Lepisosteus oculatus: one gene and its partner. The protein of the gene in region 2 interacts with the protein of the main gene of each other region in a biochemical or structural test. Links are inferred from orthologs where the notes say so. Each region holds a gene or a part of one and is shown on either strand. Other genes may lie near its edges.

What was found. The genes of interacting proteins can lie anywhere in the genome.
Region 1: the proteins of Na(+)/H(+) exchange regulatory cofactor NHE-RF1 (region 2) and pdgfrb form a complex in vitro, tested with the Homo sapiens proteins (2 studies listed by BioGRID and IntAct, with this or other methods). The link is inferred for Lepisosteus oculatus from reciprocal best matches to the Homo sapiens genes NHERF1 and PDGFRB.

Annotation. Positions count from the first base shown.
Region 1 is NC_090706.1:32,305,436-32,313,921, forward strand, and holds the start of pdgfrb (platelet-derived growth factor receptor beta), read right to left. Parts: upstream 3,463-8,486; 5' UTR 2,638-3,462; intron 447-2,637; exon of another isoform or gene 410-446; intron 1-409. UniProt on the Homo sapiens protein: Tyrosine-protein kinase that acts as a cell-surface receptor for homodimeric PDGFB and PDGFD and for heterodimers formed by PDGFA and PDGFB, and plays an essential role in the regulation of embryonic development, cell proliferation, survival, differentiation, chemotaxis and migration.
Region 2 is NC_090704.1:34,889,779-34,898,168, forward strand, and holds the start of Na(+)/H(+) exchange regulatory cofactor NHE-RF1, read left to right. Parts: upstream 1-4,990; 5' UTR 4,991-5,351; coding exon 5,352-5,813; intron 5,814-8,390. UniProt on the Homo sapiens protein: Scaffold protein that connects plasma membrane proteins with members of the ezrin/moesin/radixin family and thereby helps to link them to the actin cytoskeleton and to regulate their surface expression. Necessary for recycling of internalized ADRB2.

The DNA.
Region 1 (8,486 bases), on a different chromosome or scaffold from region 2:
TTGTAAACCAATCTTGAATTTCATGACAAAAGACACCAATTGCTGGTTAAAATATCTTGAAACAACTTTCAATCCAGCTGTCCAGTTGTAACTAGGGCAACAATCCATTTCTATTCTGCATTGAACGGATGACATTCTTTTTCAACACTGGTTTTTCTATGATAATAATAGTCTTGGTAAGACTCTACAATACTCAATTTGTGTTTCATCCAACAACTTCAGGTTGTACTATTTGACTTGTGAGACAATTAGTGAGCCAGTTAGCAATGAATTTATTGTTGAAGAACACCTCAGCTGAAAATGGGGAGGCTTATGAATTTAAAACAATTGCCACTAGAGCCATTAAGATTGACAATACCTAGTTAATATCCAGTAGCAATCAAAGTGACTTATAGAAGCTTGTACAAACCTCTGGCGGTTTTGAAGGAACGAGTAATAGGTTTATTCCATGCTGAAAAGAGAAGAAAGGAAACACAATCTTTCGGCTGTGGAGCCTTATTCGGGCGTTTTCTGCTTTTTTATAATATTCAGAGAATTCACAGTTCCTCTGCAGTGTAAATTTGTTTTAGTAGAAAGATGTATTTCACACACATTCACTGGATTTTCTTTTACATTTTCAGTTGAACACCATGATTGAAAAAGATGATTTATACAAAAAGTCTGATTACCCAAATCCTAATAATTAGTATATAATTAACCAATAGATTCAATCTTGGAAAAATGTACAAAGAGTTTAATAACCTTTTCATTTATACATGTGTAGATCTGTATAAGCAGACTTGTCTCAGATGTAAGAATTGAAAACATTCTAAAGACAAATATAAAATACTGTATAATTACACTGGCAATTATAAACACTTTTCATTTACCTACTATATTAAAATATACTTAACCAAAAGAAAAGTAATCTTTATATAAGTCCCCCTTCCTCTGTAGATAACACTCCAGCACCTGATTCTAATTAGTGACCATTTCTGCAATTGGTGGAAAATATAAATGAAAGTTTTTTTTGGCCATTATCAGCACCATCATTAGTTTTAGTTGTAGACTAGCTAGAACCTCATTAAAAATCCAGGAAGAACATTATATAAGCTTGAAAAGGAGCTCACAGATTGTACAAACAGTTGCAGCAACTCATACTACACCCACATGCTAGCTGTAAGTAAACCTCAGTCTTGCTTTTTTAAAAAAAACAGAACAATGACATAAATTCACCTCAGTGAAGTGTCAGCATGATAAGTTATTAGCAGTTGACTGTCCAAAAATCTAAACCTAACATTTCTTTAACTCAAGCATAGTAAAAAAAATGCTTTTCATGCTTTCCCATGACCTCTAGGAAAACAAAAATGCAAACAAAATACTGTGTACCAGATGTCTGCCACAGAAGGGTGAACATTTTCCTTTGCCTAAGCTGTATACCTACCAAAGGTTTTCTTACGTGAAGCAAACTGTGCCAGTGGTTGTCTTTACAGGATGCACGTTCTTGAAGTCTATCTTATTGTATTTGCTATTATCAACAGTTTAACTAAGCTGTTGTTTACGTTTATTTTTGTGCCTTTCTGTAGAGAACACCTCACTGGAAATATTAGATTATACAGAAAATGAGGTTAGCTCTCTTTTAAGACACTGACATAAAAGTTGACATTTCATGTACAAAGGCAATCCAAGAGTACTGCTCAATGACAAAAGATTTCACAGCCAACAGGACAGGCTGTCAAACATGGCCTAATTGTGTGAAAGTAAACAGTTCAGGAAACTCAAAGTCTGAAGAGAAAACAGATAAGCATATACAGATCCCCTAAAGTCAAGCACCACTTTAGCCTAATAAAGTACTTCTGAAGCAGAAAGGATTTTTAGCATTCTTATTAAAGCACTCAGTATTAAATGTGGAAAACTCAAGGGGAAAATATATTTTCCCTGCAGCATAACTAGCCAAATTCCAAAGATTTCCATGGAGAAATACTGACATTCCATGATAATTTGTTTTTGATATTCCAAGATAAATTGGTTTTGTTGTTTTTAATTTTAGAATTTGCTGTGTTCTGTTAATTAGTGGGTATTTTTTTCTGACATGCCTTCAAGTATTCATTTCTTATATGTGGAAGTTCTTTTCTACATACACTATACAAGCTGTTGCTTAATTTTTTTTTTAAAGTGAACCAATTAGGTCCCACATCAAAGGAAATAACATGGCTGTTTACAAGTCTAATCTGAAACATGCACACACATCACTTCATATTTTTTATAGGTTGAGTTTATGCAAAGTATTATAAACAATATTAGATGCCAAAAGCACTGTAGTTCTGGTTTACTGTATTTCAGCTTCTGGGTATATGGTATGTATATATATTAGGATAAAACTCCAATATGGTACTGTATATCTCACTGTAAACAGCCAATAGATCTTCAAGTTCAGAAACTTGGGCAATAGACTTCTGTGTAATGTAACTAAGTCAACGTTTGTTAATGCAGACTTTGATAAAATCCAGCAGATCTACAAACTTTCTCCTTTTAAATGATCTCAAACAATATTAAACACTGGAGACTTTCTACCAAATATACTCCAGGTATATTTGAAGACAGCTTTAAGTGAACAAAAAGCACATAAAAAATATATTAAAAGGGGGAAAGACTTACCTTGGATACACGTCACTCTAGTATCAGAAAGACTTTTAAAAAAACTTAAAGCATTGTCCAACGGTGATTTCTCTTAGGGATCTGAACTGCTGTCCGACTGCCTTGAAAGTGTGAGTAGCAGTTTTCAATTAGCTTCCTTTTGTAGAACTGGGGTAGATTCCTCAAATCTTCAGAGATGATTGCTGTAATCTGGTTAGCCCCTTGAGCCCTTGAAACAGGCACCAGAACTCTGTTTATTTATTCAAATGAAAGGATAGGGGTGGCCACTGATGCAGCACTGAAAATCACCTTTTAGAAGAATAAAAGGCTGTTAAAAGTTGAAATAAACATCAGAAGAGGCCAAGATTAAACTATTGGTCTTCAGTCACATAGGTCATGTATTTTCAGAGAATACAGCTCCTTTCATAAAAAAAAAACGTTCTGTTGGCTGACACCTTTGAAACATAAATCTATATATGATAAACGTGTTCTGTTCCTTACGAAATAACGAAAACAAAACACCAAAAAGAAAAAGTAGTCACGAGACAATATACTGGCAAGCTTCACTAATTCAAGTCCAAATGAAAAAGAAAAGAGGCTGATGAAGACTTTTATATGAAGTTAGAACAAATTGTCATTTTAGTGCCGTGAACAGAAAACTAACTACAGCTACATTTAAAAGCAAAGCTTGTTTTCTATAGACAAAAAAAGTTCTATTGAATTTAAAAGGACTTGTAAAAGGGTACTTCCCTCTTCTACTCTCAACACCAGAGTGGTTGTGTCTGTTTTCAATCTTGGCTTTTTCCTTATTTTTCCTTTCCCAGGATATGAGTGGATGGCTAGAAAATTCATAACCCACGCCAGCAGCTGACTAAGGGCTTTCTTTTTATTAAAGAGGACTTTTTTGAAGGGGTGTGTGTTGGGGGACTTGAGGGGGGGACTCTGCATACTCACTCCTGTAATTGTTATAGTGTGAAGTGCCTTGTGGAACTAATTAGAAAGCTGCTGCACGCACATTTATTAGATTGAAGAGGACAGTGCAGTGCTTGTTTGAAGACTGACTGGGTGAACGTGTCCATTACAAATCTTTACATAGCAATTTAGAAAACTTTAATTTAGATTGATCAAATTACATCCACAGCTACCGTATATTTCCTTCATGATAGCGAAAACTGATAAAGGCGGCAATCTGCTTCTTTTAAGAACTCTGTAAACAGCTGTAATACCAGAACAGATGACTGCTTCTGTATTTGCAGTTAAACCTTTTTTTTCCTGAATCAGGCACAAAATAATCAATCACTGGTCTAGTGTGGGGTAACAAAAAATTATAGCATGCTATCTTGTCTCAGACTGAATATATACATGTATAAATATCGGTCATATGCTTTTGGAAATCTCTTAAACACAGAGGACAAACTCAGAGCAGTTTTTTTCTATTCAAATTACAAGCATCCACTAATACATAATTGATGACAGCATTTTCAAAACCATAAGTTTTCATTCTGATGCCCCAAATCAAAATAGGACATTACACATTTCAACAGAACTACATGATACCTATATAACGTGACATAAGATTTAGACTTGCCTGTGCTCACATCTGATGTATTCAAATGACCTGCTACATTTCTACAGCAATCTAGGCTTAGGGCAAGCCTGCTCTGTGCTGTGACCATTAAATAGAAAACTGTCCTAGGAAAGGCTGCCATCAGCAGACTGATCACTTTCTCTTAAGCAGAAAAGTGCTAAATTTTAAAACTATACAAACATTCTATTATAAAACTCTTTTTCGAACCAAGGTCTCATTTTGAAAAGATTCCATCTTCCATCTGATAAAGTTAACTTTCTTTTAATTTTTTCTGATTAGCATCTTAATTTTACAAGTTAGAAATAGTTCAGAATTTCAATAAATAGTTCTGTGACCATAACATAATACCATCTCTGACATAGCACTAAAAGATAAATATAGCCTTTTTTTTAAGGCTGTTGACTGCCTTATTTGAATAAGAAACAGGAAATTAAGCAATTGCCACTATCTGTCCTTTTTATAGAAAGAGCGAAAATGGAATGTGGACCTAACAGACATATGATTATAAAATGATTTTTGTTTAAAATTCAGGAAAACCATAGAGATTCACATTACACATGTAAAACCATTTTTTTCTATTGTTCAGGGTGGATGCACAGTAATGCCCCAACTTAAAAATCACTATGTAGTTTACAAATGCATGCATACATCTAAACTTTTTTGGAGTCCTTCTTTAAACAAATACAAGTTAATAAACAGAAATAAACAATGTAAAAAAAGCTGGAAATTTTAATTGACCCAGGAAATTAAAGGAAAATGGATATTAAAGGAAAACAAACAAATCAGGAGTATATAGGTGCTTCTGCATACTAATATTTTATGTGATTTTTTGCCATTGAGCATTATATCTTTAAAACAAGTCACAGACGTTTGTCAAATAAACATATCTCAAAAGAATGAAAAAACACATTACCAGTGGGAGGTGTTAAGTTTGCTTTTTCTTTTACAGTTAAATGAAACTATGTAGAGAAGTGTGATCAGCTTGTACTCAGCAGGTTTATCTTGGAATAGGACACTGAAGAACAGGCACAACTAAGTGAGACAGACATAAATAAGAACAGAGTTTAAAAGTATACAGCAAGAGTTCATCAGAGAGTCATGGATTATTTTGTAGTGTGGTAGTTATGCATCTTAGAAACCAGAACACACTGCTTCCAAATGTCAAACTAATCAACAGGAAAATAGTGTTAGGTTGTCTTTTGATTTATTGAGCATATTAAGTTTTTGTTTTCAGAATTTTTTATCGAGTTCCAAAATCGGATTATACTCATCTTGGCAGCTATGGATCAAACACAATAATGAAGTACTAAATCTGAAAGAAATTAAAAGTCAGCCCTGCTGACTTTAGAGATAAACATATTTGTCAATAAAATAATCAAACACACCATACTGCAAATCTGGTTATATTGGATATTATAATTTAGAACAGAGCTGTCATAGACAGACTATGTCCTGCTTATGTCCTGGTTAAGCCATTAAAACATTAGGAAACTGTATGACATTTACCGACCTACTGTCTCTTTTTTAACAAAGATATTATTTACTATACCGATATTGGATCTAGTTTCCCTAGAAAAAGATTAAATTTCTATGCAAATATTGTATGTAGATAAAAATATAATTAAGTCATAATGTCTTCTGAGCACAAAGAAGAGTAATTAATACAATTTCTTGCATGTCCTCAAGTGAATAATGCACTATCATGTGATTTATTTCTTTTTCAGCCACACTGACGTTTCCAGTGAGTGAAAATGTAATGGCTCAGTTCAATAACTGGCCACAAATACCTGGAAATCAAAACAGTGGAGCCATTCATGCTCTCAAAACACTACCCCGTGCAAAATGATTCATGTTTTTATATACTTCAGGTGCTTCAGCCAATGCAGGATGGGAGTCTACAAGTATTTTGTGTGTCACAGTTCATTGGAAAAAGAAAAGTTAATAGAGATAGGCAATTACCTTCAGCTGTTTCCCTCGTTATTTCCAATAGAAACTTTATCCTAAATATATGGCTTTCCATTTACACATTATGTACAGTTAATATTATTCATTGGCCTACTACTATGAGGATTTATATGAATATTAATTAATATTAATGTTTGGCAAATACATGATGAATGCAAGCGACTCACCTTAATTATCATTTTAAACAACTTTAAAACGTATCCTTTTGCCCTTGCCATATTATCTTTTTCATTGTATTTTCATTGTATTTGCTATTTGGTTTCCACATTTCAAAAAGGACATTGGTGCTTTGGAATCATTCACAGAAGATGAGTGAGTTTAATTCCTGGTATTCAAGGAACAGGTTAAAGGAGTTGAATCTCTTTAGAATCTATTAAACTCGTTAGCTTTGTTTTACAGTATAAACAAGTATGAAAACTTCTTTAGAAGAAGTTTAAAATATCTTCTTCCAATGTAGTGTATATTTTATTTTCACACTCTGGGACTAGTCTTCTGTCACATAGCTATTTATAATTTAAATTCATTAAACAGCTTAAAAAAGTATAAAAATATAACAGTGGAGTGCCTCTAGACCAGTAGTAAAACAAGGAACTGAGGACACCAGTGGAAACTAATTGGAATTGCAATAATGACTGAAAGGCTTTTAATTGAAAAGCAGTCGACATCTCTCAATTCTCAGTTCTGCACACTAACTTGTCAATCATTGGACAAACCCTATTTAGCATATATCAACTATGAATCAGTTCTGCTGAAGTTTCCCAATGATTTTTTTCCCCTAGGATACCTTATTAACTCAGATACTGTCATTGTCTATGTAAAGTTACATAAGCAGCAACATGTATTATAGTGTGCTTCATTTTATTTTTAAATTTGCTCAAACTAAAATTATTTTAAGCAGCAAGGGACTTCAAGAACTATTTTGCTCATCTGGTTGAGAAGACGTCACATTTTATAAAATATACTTAATAACTTTTGCCTGTACATTCACTGCACTCCAAGCAGAAAAAAAAAAACATGTATTAAAGGGGAAAAGCTAGGATATTGCGATAGTTACAGTATATGTATGTTCACTGCTGGTCTGGTGAGCAAGTGAAGGCATTGTTAATGTGCCAAGGATTCACCATAGTTCAGTGCGTCCGCAACAACAAAACAAAGCAAAAGACTCAATGAATTTCAGGACTTAAATCAAGAGTCCTAACCAGTCTAACCACAGAACTCTTAAAGTTGCTTCATGTTAAAAACCATATGACATGTTTATAAATATACTATATGTAGAGTGATGTCAAAAGGAAGTATTGAGGAAAACAGACAGATCAAATAAGAAGAACAATCTTGTTTTGAGATCTTATTTTTTATTCTTTTTACATTAAATTGGAAGGGATTCCTGCTAAAATAAATAAACCAAGGCCTTTCTGACAACACTGTCCTGGCTGGCTAAGGGTATGTTTAAAAATTGTGTGGTCATATTTATTGGAGATAAAATATATATTTTTTCCAGACATGCATTAAGAACTGAAAGTTCCCAGGAACCATTTCAAGAAAACACACTATACCAGAACCAGACAAAAACTATCAGAATTCTTCATCACCAAATGTTTTTAAAACATGTTTAGGGCAACTAAGAAAGTCTGTGACACTTTCGTCTTAAAAACATGTATGTTTTATAATTGTACTTTCAAAAATATACAGTATCTAAGTGAAACAAACCATTTAATTTTTTATAATTTTTATATCCTGTTGGGGATAACAATATTTGTACATACAGTTGTAAATATACTAAATATAAAACAGTTTAGCTCCACAAAAAAAGCCCTCTAAATTAAAAGCACATGTTTTCTTTCCTGCAATTTTGAAATTATTGTAAACATATTATTGGAAATTATTAGACATTTATGTGTTAACTGTTTTTTTATCAGTACAGCACAATAATCTCATGCTCCCTGCCATCAATGGCACTCCTAAAGTATGTAACAGGGCTCAATAGTACTGAGCTAGATACCGGATCTGATCTAACCCCCTTAGAACATGGTTAATATTGAATTCAGCATATCAGAAGGATTTGGTGTCTAAGGAGACAAAACTAAACTCCAACTTCTTAACCACAGGACCTCTAAGCTAGAATCTGACAACTATGAGTGACAGGTATGAGTAAAACACTTGTAGCATCTCTGGTAGAATCTCAGTACCAAGGCATTTGAAGTGATTGAAAAGCGGTACAATAGGAAGTCCATTTTCTCCATTGTAAAATTTAAAGTCAGTAATGCTAAATTGGACTAAGACATTTTATACCAAAATAACCAAAGCCATCAAAAAGAGA
Region 2 (8,390 bases):
CTTAGATTTTTTTATAACTGCACAGTTATTTAGGGAAGAAAGCAAGGTGAACAGATCTACGTCTAACTTTGGTTCTTCGTCTTATAAGATATTCTGCAGTTCTGTTTTTTACCACAGGGAGTCAGCATTGTCAGTTGATTGATGAGGTATGTTCACTTTACATCCACTGAAGGTAATGTACTGGGAGTCTTTTCCACAGGGCTGTGGTGGGGGGAATTATGACGTGATCATTTTCATGTTTTTGTTTAAAACAAAAAATACAGAATATAACAGTACTGAAGTAATAAATTCACACTTAAATTATACTGTTTTATAATTTCTAAAACACCTTCAAAGGCCTGGTGCTTCCTGTGGTCTCAAAATACTACCTTGATGCATAGAATGTGAAAGCTGACTAAATGAAGACCCCACCAGTCAAATGTTTGATGTTCAGGTAGTTACAAAACACCATACTTATGAACAAAAATTCAAATGAAATCTTTTCTGATTTGTATTTTGTGCCCCACCCAGGTGGTTTGACCTTTGCATATTATTTGAAAAAAAAAGTATAAAAAATTAAGGTGAAGTTAAGGTGAAGCAAAATTAGGGACAGTAAATGGGTTGTTGTTTCTTAAAACATGTCATTGAAAATATGGGATGCTTTTCAAACAGCTCTATCGTGAGAAGTGTACAGCATGGAGCAGTAAAATCTGGAGCTCATACAAAGAGGAACACAAGGAACTCCTTCCCACATGTGCACACATTACACAGCAGAGGATAAAGCAGCACAGCCCAGAGGCCAACAGCTCCAGTCTACAGCAAGAGTCTCAAATCCTGATCTTCCATCAGGTACTGTTGGTACTGTAACCATCAAATCATTTATCTAGAAAGACGTGGAAAAATTGTGATGGTATGGTAAAAAGAATGGGTTTAAAGATGTAGTGCAAAACTGAATTAAGGGACTAGAGTTCCTTTAATTGAATAAATTACTAACTTAACTGATTGGTAATTTACAAGTATTCCCGCTCTTTAGAAATATGTAACTTAGGGAGACCAGTAATACAGGATGTAATACTAGATTAAGGCTTTCCAGAGCATGGGTTGGACATCCCTATTCAAGAGTATAAAATCATCAATATGCCTAAAGTAGCTTCTTCCGGAAGGAACACATTCTCTCTGGTCCTATTTGTACTTCGTTTATCAAATTATACTGGCACAGGTCTCTCAATACCATTATCTGTAACAGCTTCTTCCTGCAGGCTGTCAGGCTCCTCAACACCCTGGAATCTACTTGCCCCCGGCCCAATTCCAGAAACAGGGTTAAGATCCCCCCAGTGTGGTGTGTATATTGGATTATATATTGCCTTGTATTTTGCACTATCTGCACTTTGCACTATGTGTATCCTGTCTACAATGTCTATGTCAGTGTCCTGTCTGTCCTGCCTGTATTTTCACTGTGGACCAGGTGGAACGGTATTTCATTCCACTGTATACTTGTATATGGCTGGAATGACAAATAAACTTGAACTTGAAATTAAGAAGGTGAACTACATTAAGAAGCATCCTTTAGAAACTAATATTTGTGTCTTTCTTTTACACTGTGTGATATATTGTTTGTATTGGACACAATGAAAACACATCGAGGCTATACAGTACCTTTTATATGTCTTTCCATAGTGGAAGAGGAGGTGGAGTCTTTCCTTGTTGGATTTTAGGATCTTTTTAAAAATGTTTTGGAACCTCACATTCAACTGAAGAAAGAGATAGGGGGCAACAGAAATATTTTATGTTGTTCTGTACAAGAGGTGGGAGGACTCTCAGGTATGGTTTTGAGTCACTGGGAGGGTGTTCCCAGCCAGTAGTAGGTGTTGTGAATATACTATGAAGTCACACTGTACAGTAGCTGCCAGCCAATTCGGATCCATAGCATATTGACTATATTCTCAAATATATAACTATATATAATATATAAACTGGATGGTTCATTCCTCTTTATCCTGTGCATGCTAGTAAAAGCATATAAAATTCAATCAGTCAATTCAGTTTTCATCATCAGACCTGGAACTACAGTATAATGACATGTAATATTTTTTTGGATAACTGAAAAACCTTTTTTGTCAGGATCCTGTCAGGGCAGGGAGGTTAACTACTGTAGATGTTTTTTTGCTGAATACCATGGCAAGTGTATGAGATGCAAAACTGACAAAGGCAACTGGAGTTCATGCACGGGTCACTGCAATTCCAGGATGTGTTACTTCAGCATTTTGCCTGTCAGAACCAGAAGCACAATTCCTGTTCTTAAATTTGCTGATTCGCAGCCTGCAGCACACTCAATCCACTATATACTCTAGTTGCATCAAACCTGAATATCTTCTATAGAAAATCAGCACTGGGTGTGCCCCGATGACTTCTGTGGAAACTGGCAGTGTTACTATGGAGTAGATTTCTAATTGAGCACATCCATTACATCCAAACTATTGAGAATTATTTCAATTTATAATTCTCTATTTATAGAACTTTACTTAACTCAAATACATAATGTGCTGCATCGTCTGTAGTAGTGCCACTACAAGGTACAATTGAAATTATCAATGTAAAGAGAATAGATTGCTATGTCAAGAACACCATGTGCAGGTCTCATGATATTTTGATGATATTTTGAGGGGGTAACCTAGGTCTGAAAAATGACTTCTCATAGCTACTTTTAAAAACTTGCAGAAATCTAGAAAATAATATGCAATGAAGGAATTTTCTAGTCTACTTTGTACAAAACACTGTTGTTACGTAGGAGGCCTTTACAATATAAAAATTCAGCCCATTGAATGTTGTTATTTATGACCTGTTTCAGAAAGGGCAGAGCAGAAATGCATAAAATGGTCAAGAGAGAATTCATTTTTTATTTTATTATTCAAGCATGTGTTTGAGGAAGAGATTAGAAATCATATACCTAAGTCTCAAGGACAAATAAAGCAAACAACATGGACGCCGTGACTTCAGATTTTAAAGATTTTGCATAAAGTACCATCATTCTTTACATGTCTGTTTTTATGCATACTTTTTAAATTAGCTGTGAAGCAGTTCAATTGTTAAAAATTACCTGGCTCAATTGATAATTACACAATAATGTCTCATAAATATTTATGCTGGATTTGTGGATGTTCTTAATATTGTATTTATACCATTATTTATACCATTACAGTTAGGATATAAAAAAGTGCTCAATGCTTCCAACATTAAAGTTGGACTTCCAACTTTAAATACATTAAAGTTGGAAGCATTGAGCACTTTTTTATATCCTAACTGTAATGGTATAAATACAATATTAAGAACATCCACAAATCCAGCATAAATATTTATGAGACATTATTGTGTAATTATCAATTGAGCCAGGTAATTTTTAACAATTGAACTGCTTCACAGCTAATTTAAAAAGTATGCATAAAAACAGACATGTAAAGAATGATGGTACTTTATGCAAAATCTTTAAAATCTGAAGTCACGGCGTCCATGTTGTTTGCTTTATTTGTCCTTGAGACTTAGGTAAAGCGCCCAAACATGGGATATGGAATGTTGGTAGCCAAATAATACTGGTTTGATCTGGTAAGAGTGATTTGAAATTGGTTTTGGATTAATGATAATAATTATTCCTTACACTTATGTAGTGCTTTTCTGGATACTTCGCTCAATGAGCTTTACAGGTAATGGGGCTCCCCTCTACCACCATCAATGTGTAGCCCCCACCTGGATAATGTGACGGCAGGCATGGTGCACCAGTACACTCACCTCATGTCAGCTTTCAGTGGGGAGGAGAGCAGAGTGATGAAGGCAATTCATAGATGGGGATTATTAGGAGGCCATGACTGTTAAAACCCCTGGGATTTTTAATGACCATGGAGACTTAGGACCTCGGTTTTATATCTCACCCAAGGCGTAGCCTTTTGGACAGTGTTGTGTTCTCATACTTGGGGTATTAGGGTACTATAGGGGGTAGCAGGTCTCCCAGGTAATGGCCAGGCTCCCACCTGCTTAGCTTCAATGGGTTGCTAGTTGTGAGTTGCAGGGTGATATAGCTGCTGGGTAAATTAAAAATAAATTAAAAATATTAAAAAACAGTCTAGGCTTTGCAAAGTGATATAAAGTTATAGAAGAAGTATAAAAGGAAATGTAAATTTCTCTTCTAAAGGAATTTTGAAGAGTGGGTAACGTTTTTAGAAAGCTAAGAACTGGGTAACTGCAATAATGCAATGCAATAATAATGGGAGCAAATTACTCTGACAGTTTCCACCTGAAGTATACAGCTCAGAAACTAAAAAAAAAACGCACTCCATCTCTAGTGTTACTCAACTGTGCGAGTGGGCACTTTCGAGCAGAAACAAGTTTTCAGTTGTTAAAAACGTTACGGAAATAACATTTGTGTTCGAAGCAGTACCAATACCACAGCAGATGTTAACCCATGAAAACAAATTACTAAAGTCATAAAAGGTTTTCTTTAAAAATCTTGTGCTGCCGTGGATCTCCATCGAGGGCAGTAAGATTCCGATAAACCCCTATGCGAGCTCGAAATCCCTCCAGGTATTAAGTTATGTCTGTGATGAAGAATTGTGTTGCCGACATTATAACTGTAAGTTACAATTACATATTCTAATGTCTCAAATACTTCTTTCTCGCATTGATTGGTACTGTAGTACTAAGCAGTTTATACAGACTTTACACGTTCTTTGTGGGGATCTGATATTACTCAACTCCCTTCGGTTAAATTCCATGGGTTGCGCTGATTGGAAAATGCACACCTCAACAATAGAAGTGCAACAAAGTGCACTTCCTTTGCAGGAAGATAACAATTATCTTACCGTGTGGCTATCTGAAACTTGAATTACTCTATTATTTTGACAGTCGCCATTGGCTCATAAAAGCTCTCTTTGTGGTAAAGTTACTTGAACGGCGGACAATGATTGGTGCTGTTGGCTGTCATCTGTGGAAACGTCATGCTGCCTTATAAACTGCGCGGAGTTAATTTGAGTAACCAGATTGGAGGCTTTCGGCTGTGACGGAGAGTGCAACCCTTTTCGTGAGAAAGAGTTCAGACTGTCGTGAAGTTTTTAGGAGACTTGTGTGCACTTTAAAAAGGGAATTGCAGCTGGCGGTGACAGGGACAAGTCACATCGAGACGTCTGACGATTTTAAAAGCGAAATCTATCCATTTGCATTTCCTTAACTGCAAGTTTGGAAGTTACACCGCACTTTTTGAGTAACTGTGCAAACGTGTTGTTCCGTGCACGTTTCTGGCGTTGGTGGCGACCTATTTAAATAAGACTTTTTTGGAGTACCTGACAACATTACACTCAACAGTTTTTTTTATCAGAATAACAAGGATGTCCAGCCATAGCGAATCTCTTCGACCCAGGTTGTGTTCGCTGGAGAAAGGGGGGAATGGTTATGGTTTTCACCTCCACGGGGAAAAGGGGAAGACCGGTCAGTTCATTCGGCTGGTGGAGCCGGACTCCCCAGCTGAAGCGTCGGGGCTCCGCGCCGGCGACAGGCTGGCGTTTGTCAACGGGGAAAGCGTAGAGAGCGAGAGTCACCAACAAGTGGTGTCCAGGATAAGAGCAACAACCGGGGATCTGAAACTGATCGTGGTGGACCGGGAGACCGACGACCTGCTGAAAAAATACAACCTGAAGTGCCAGCCGGAGTATGTCACGTCGGGCATCCCTATACCGAGCGAGTCAGAGGAGGAGGTCGGGGAGAACGGCAGCCGACGGGGCTCTTCTCCGACCCCGGAGAAAAATGGAGATATCACTGGCGAGAAAAAGCCGAGTGTCAGCTCCGAGAAGGTAAGATGGATTCAATTTAAACGTGTTCCCAACGGTTGTTTCGAGATCTGATTTAAAATCCCCCTTTCGTCAAATGCAAGCATAGAAAACCTGTTTACCGCACTTTTCTCTCGTTGTATCTCTTTTTTGTTCAGCTAGTCTCGCGTTTGTTTTTTGTGTTGCTGTTAAGAGTCCAACTCTTACAATTAGATTTTGAGAAACTGCCAGCTACCTGCACTTCGGGGGAAAAAGTTTTTAAGATTACTAGTATGATTGAATGGAGTATGCTAGGTAATGCTCTTTAGGTAAGTACTTCTGTGATTTACAATGTGGTAGCTCGCATCATACACTAATAAACAAGCCCCCTTTATTTTTGTATGGAACGAAACCAGTTTGTGTAGTTCCAAAACAACAAAAAAAAAACAAATGAGTGTTTTATCAGTCTGGTTTCTGAAAAGTTAGTGAAAACAGGCTGTTTCTCTAGCTGAATTCCAGTATTTGGCATTCGGTTCAGGCAGCTTAACACTCGCCTCCAACAGTATGTTTGTGGGCAGCGTAGGAACAGCACAGGCTTTGTCCGCCTCTATTGTCGCACAGGTGCGGGAGGTTCAGAGCTCCAGGTAGCAGAGCGCCGCGGGCTCGGGTGGAAGGAGTGTTCCGTCAAACTGCGTGGGAATTTTTTTCCCCGGTTTCCCAATCTTTGAACGCAGAGCTAAAGCTTAAAGGAACATTTGTTACCACCCAAACGTGCGACAGTTTATTCACATCTCGCGATTTATCAGCTGAAGTAATGCTTTCGGACCGCAGAAATGTTTCTTCCGTTTCCTGGCTGACCTAGGTAAAGTAAACGAAAATACTATAATGTAAATCTAAGTTACTTTTAAGGAGACAGCTTGGACCCACACTGGAAAGGTTAATAGGTCTGTTTAGAGCAGAGGCTGGGAAACACGTGGTTGTTAAAGTTCAGAGCAGATACTCAGAAATTTGACCCATCTCATGGACATTATGCTTTCCTTGTCAGGAGCTTTTGCCTGCTTTTCTGAAATATTGATGTTTCTTGTTCATGCATACTGTGAGTGATCTGTCTCGTGGTGATTGGCACTCCTCCAACGTAACATTTATGGGGGTAGTGTTTGTCAAATCAATGCTATGTTATCCCATGGAAAGAAACATTCACCTATCTATCTGTATCAATTCAGCATCATGGGGGAGTTAATCCTGTCCCAGAAAGCAAAGGGTACAGGGTTTGATGCATCTTGCATGGGACAACAGACACACTCACACCAGGGCCAGTTTTCCCAGAAGTCAATTAACCTACTAGTATGTCTTTGGACTGTGGGAGGAAACCAGAGCACTGAGAGGAAACCCACATGAACATGGGGAGAACTCAGGGCTCCACATTCGCAAGGCAGCAGTACTAACCAATGTGCTGCTAAAAAAAACATTGAAGTTGTGTATACTTTTTGTAATCATTTTATCAGTGACGTGTGCTGACTAGCTACTCTGAAAGATCGTCTGTATCTCCCATTAGATATGTGACGTAAGAACTTTGAAGATACAGGTTAAAGGCTGTTCCAATCTTTTAGTGCTTTGTGGGTAGCCATTATTATATTATGGATAATCAGTCTGCTCAACCACATGAAAACTAGTTGTGATGTAAAAATCTGCAGCCTCCTTTAAATTGAATTTACAGTAGATTTCTTCACGATAGGACAGTTAAACAATGCTTCTTGAGCTCGTAGTTCTTATTTAAGACTTTCCAAAAAAAAATCAGAAGATATTGTGTGGAAATTAAATACTGGATATTAAGAACTGCTGAAAATGTGCTTTTCTGCATCTTGCAACAGAGCTTGTAAAATTTTCAGTCCAAACTGTAAGAGGTGACTTGGTTTTATTCAGCATCTTGGTGTAACAAGTTCTGGGTTTGTTTCACTGAGAGTCTGTGAAATAACTTTAAAAAAGTGTTTAAAACAGTTTTTTTCCCACCTTTTGTAAGGTTGAGTCCTGTGAAACTCAAATGTTCTTAAATTTTATTTTTGATTTTACAGTGTCCTTAAAGCAATTAAATGTACAGTAGTTGTCTTAGCTATGGCACTGCCCAAACCATGCTGGTGTCACCAACATTTTTGGCCCCTTTTCTTTAATTTGGAGCTGTACAGGATTCCCCTGAAGAGAAACAGCCACCTTCTCGTCTTCACGTGACGCAAACGAGTGCTTCACTTTTCAGCTTTCTGGGATAGGAGAATTCAAATGACCTCGACAAACCCTGGCTGCTGTTTTGATACAGTATGTGCCACCCTGAGCCAGTCCCTGAACCTCCTTGTGCTCTGTCCTTCAGATGAGACCTGAAAACTGAGGTGCTAAAAGTGGCTCTGGAGCAGCAGGTGTTAAAATATTACTCAGCCCTTCAGCCTCCGTAAGTCACGCTGGGCAAATGGTGTCTGTTAAATGAGTAATTATTAAGTGCTTGGGTATGCAATTACTGCCAAAGCACATTTCTAGAACATTCGTTAGTAACTGAAGAAATTAGAGAACTTTTCAGAGACTCGAGCGGAGGAGTGTTTTGTCCGGCAGAATCCCTGAAAGCTCCCTTGTCCT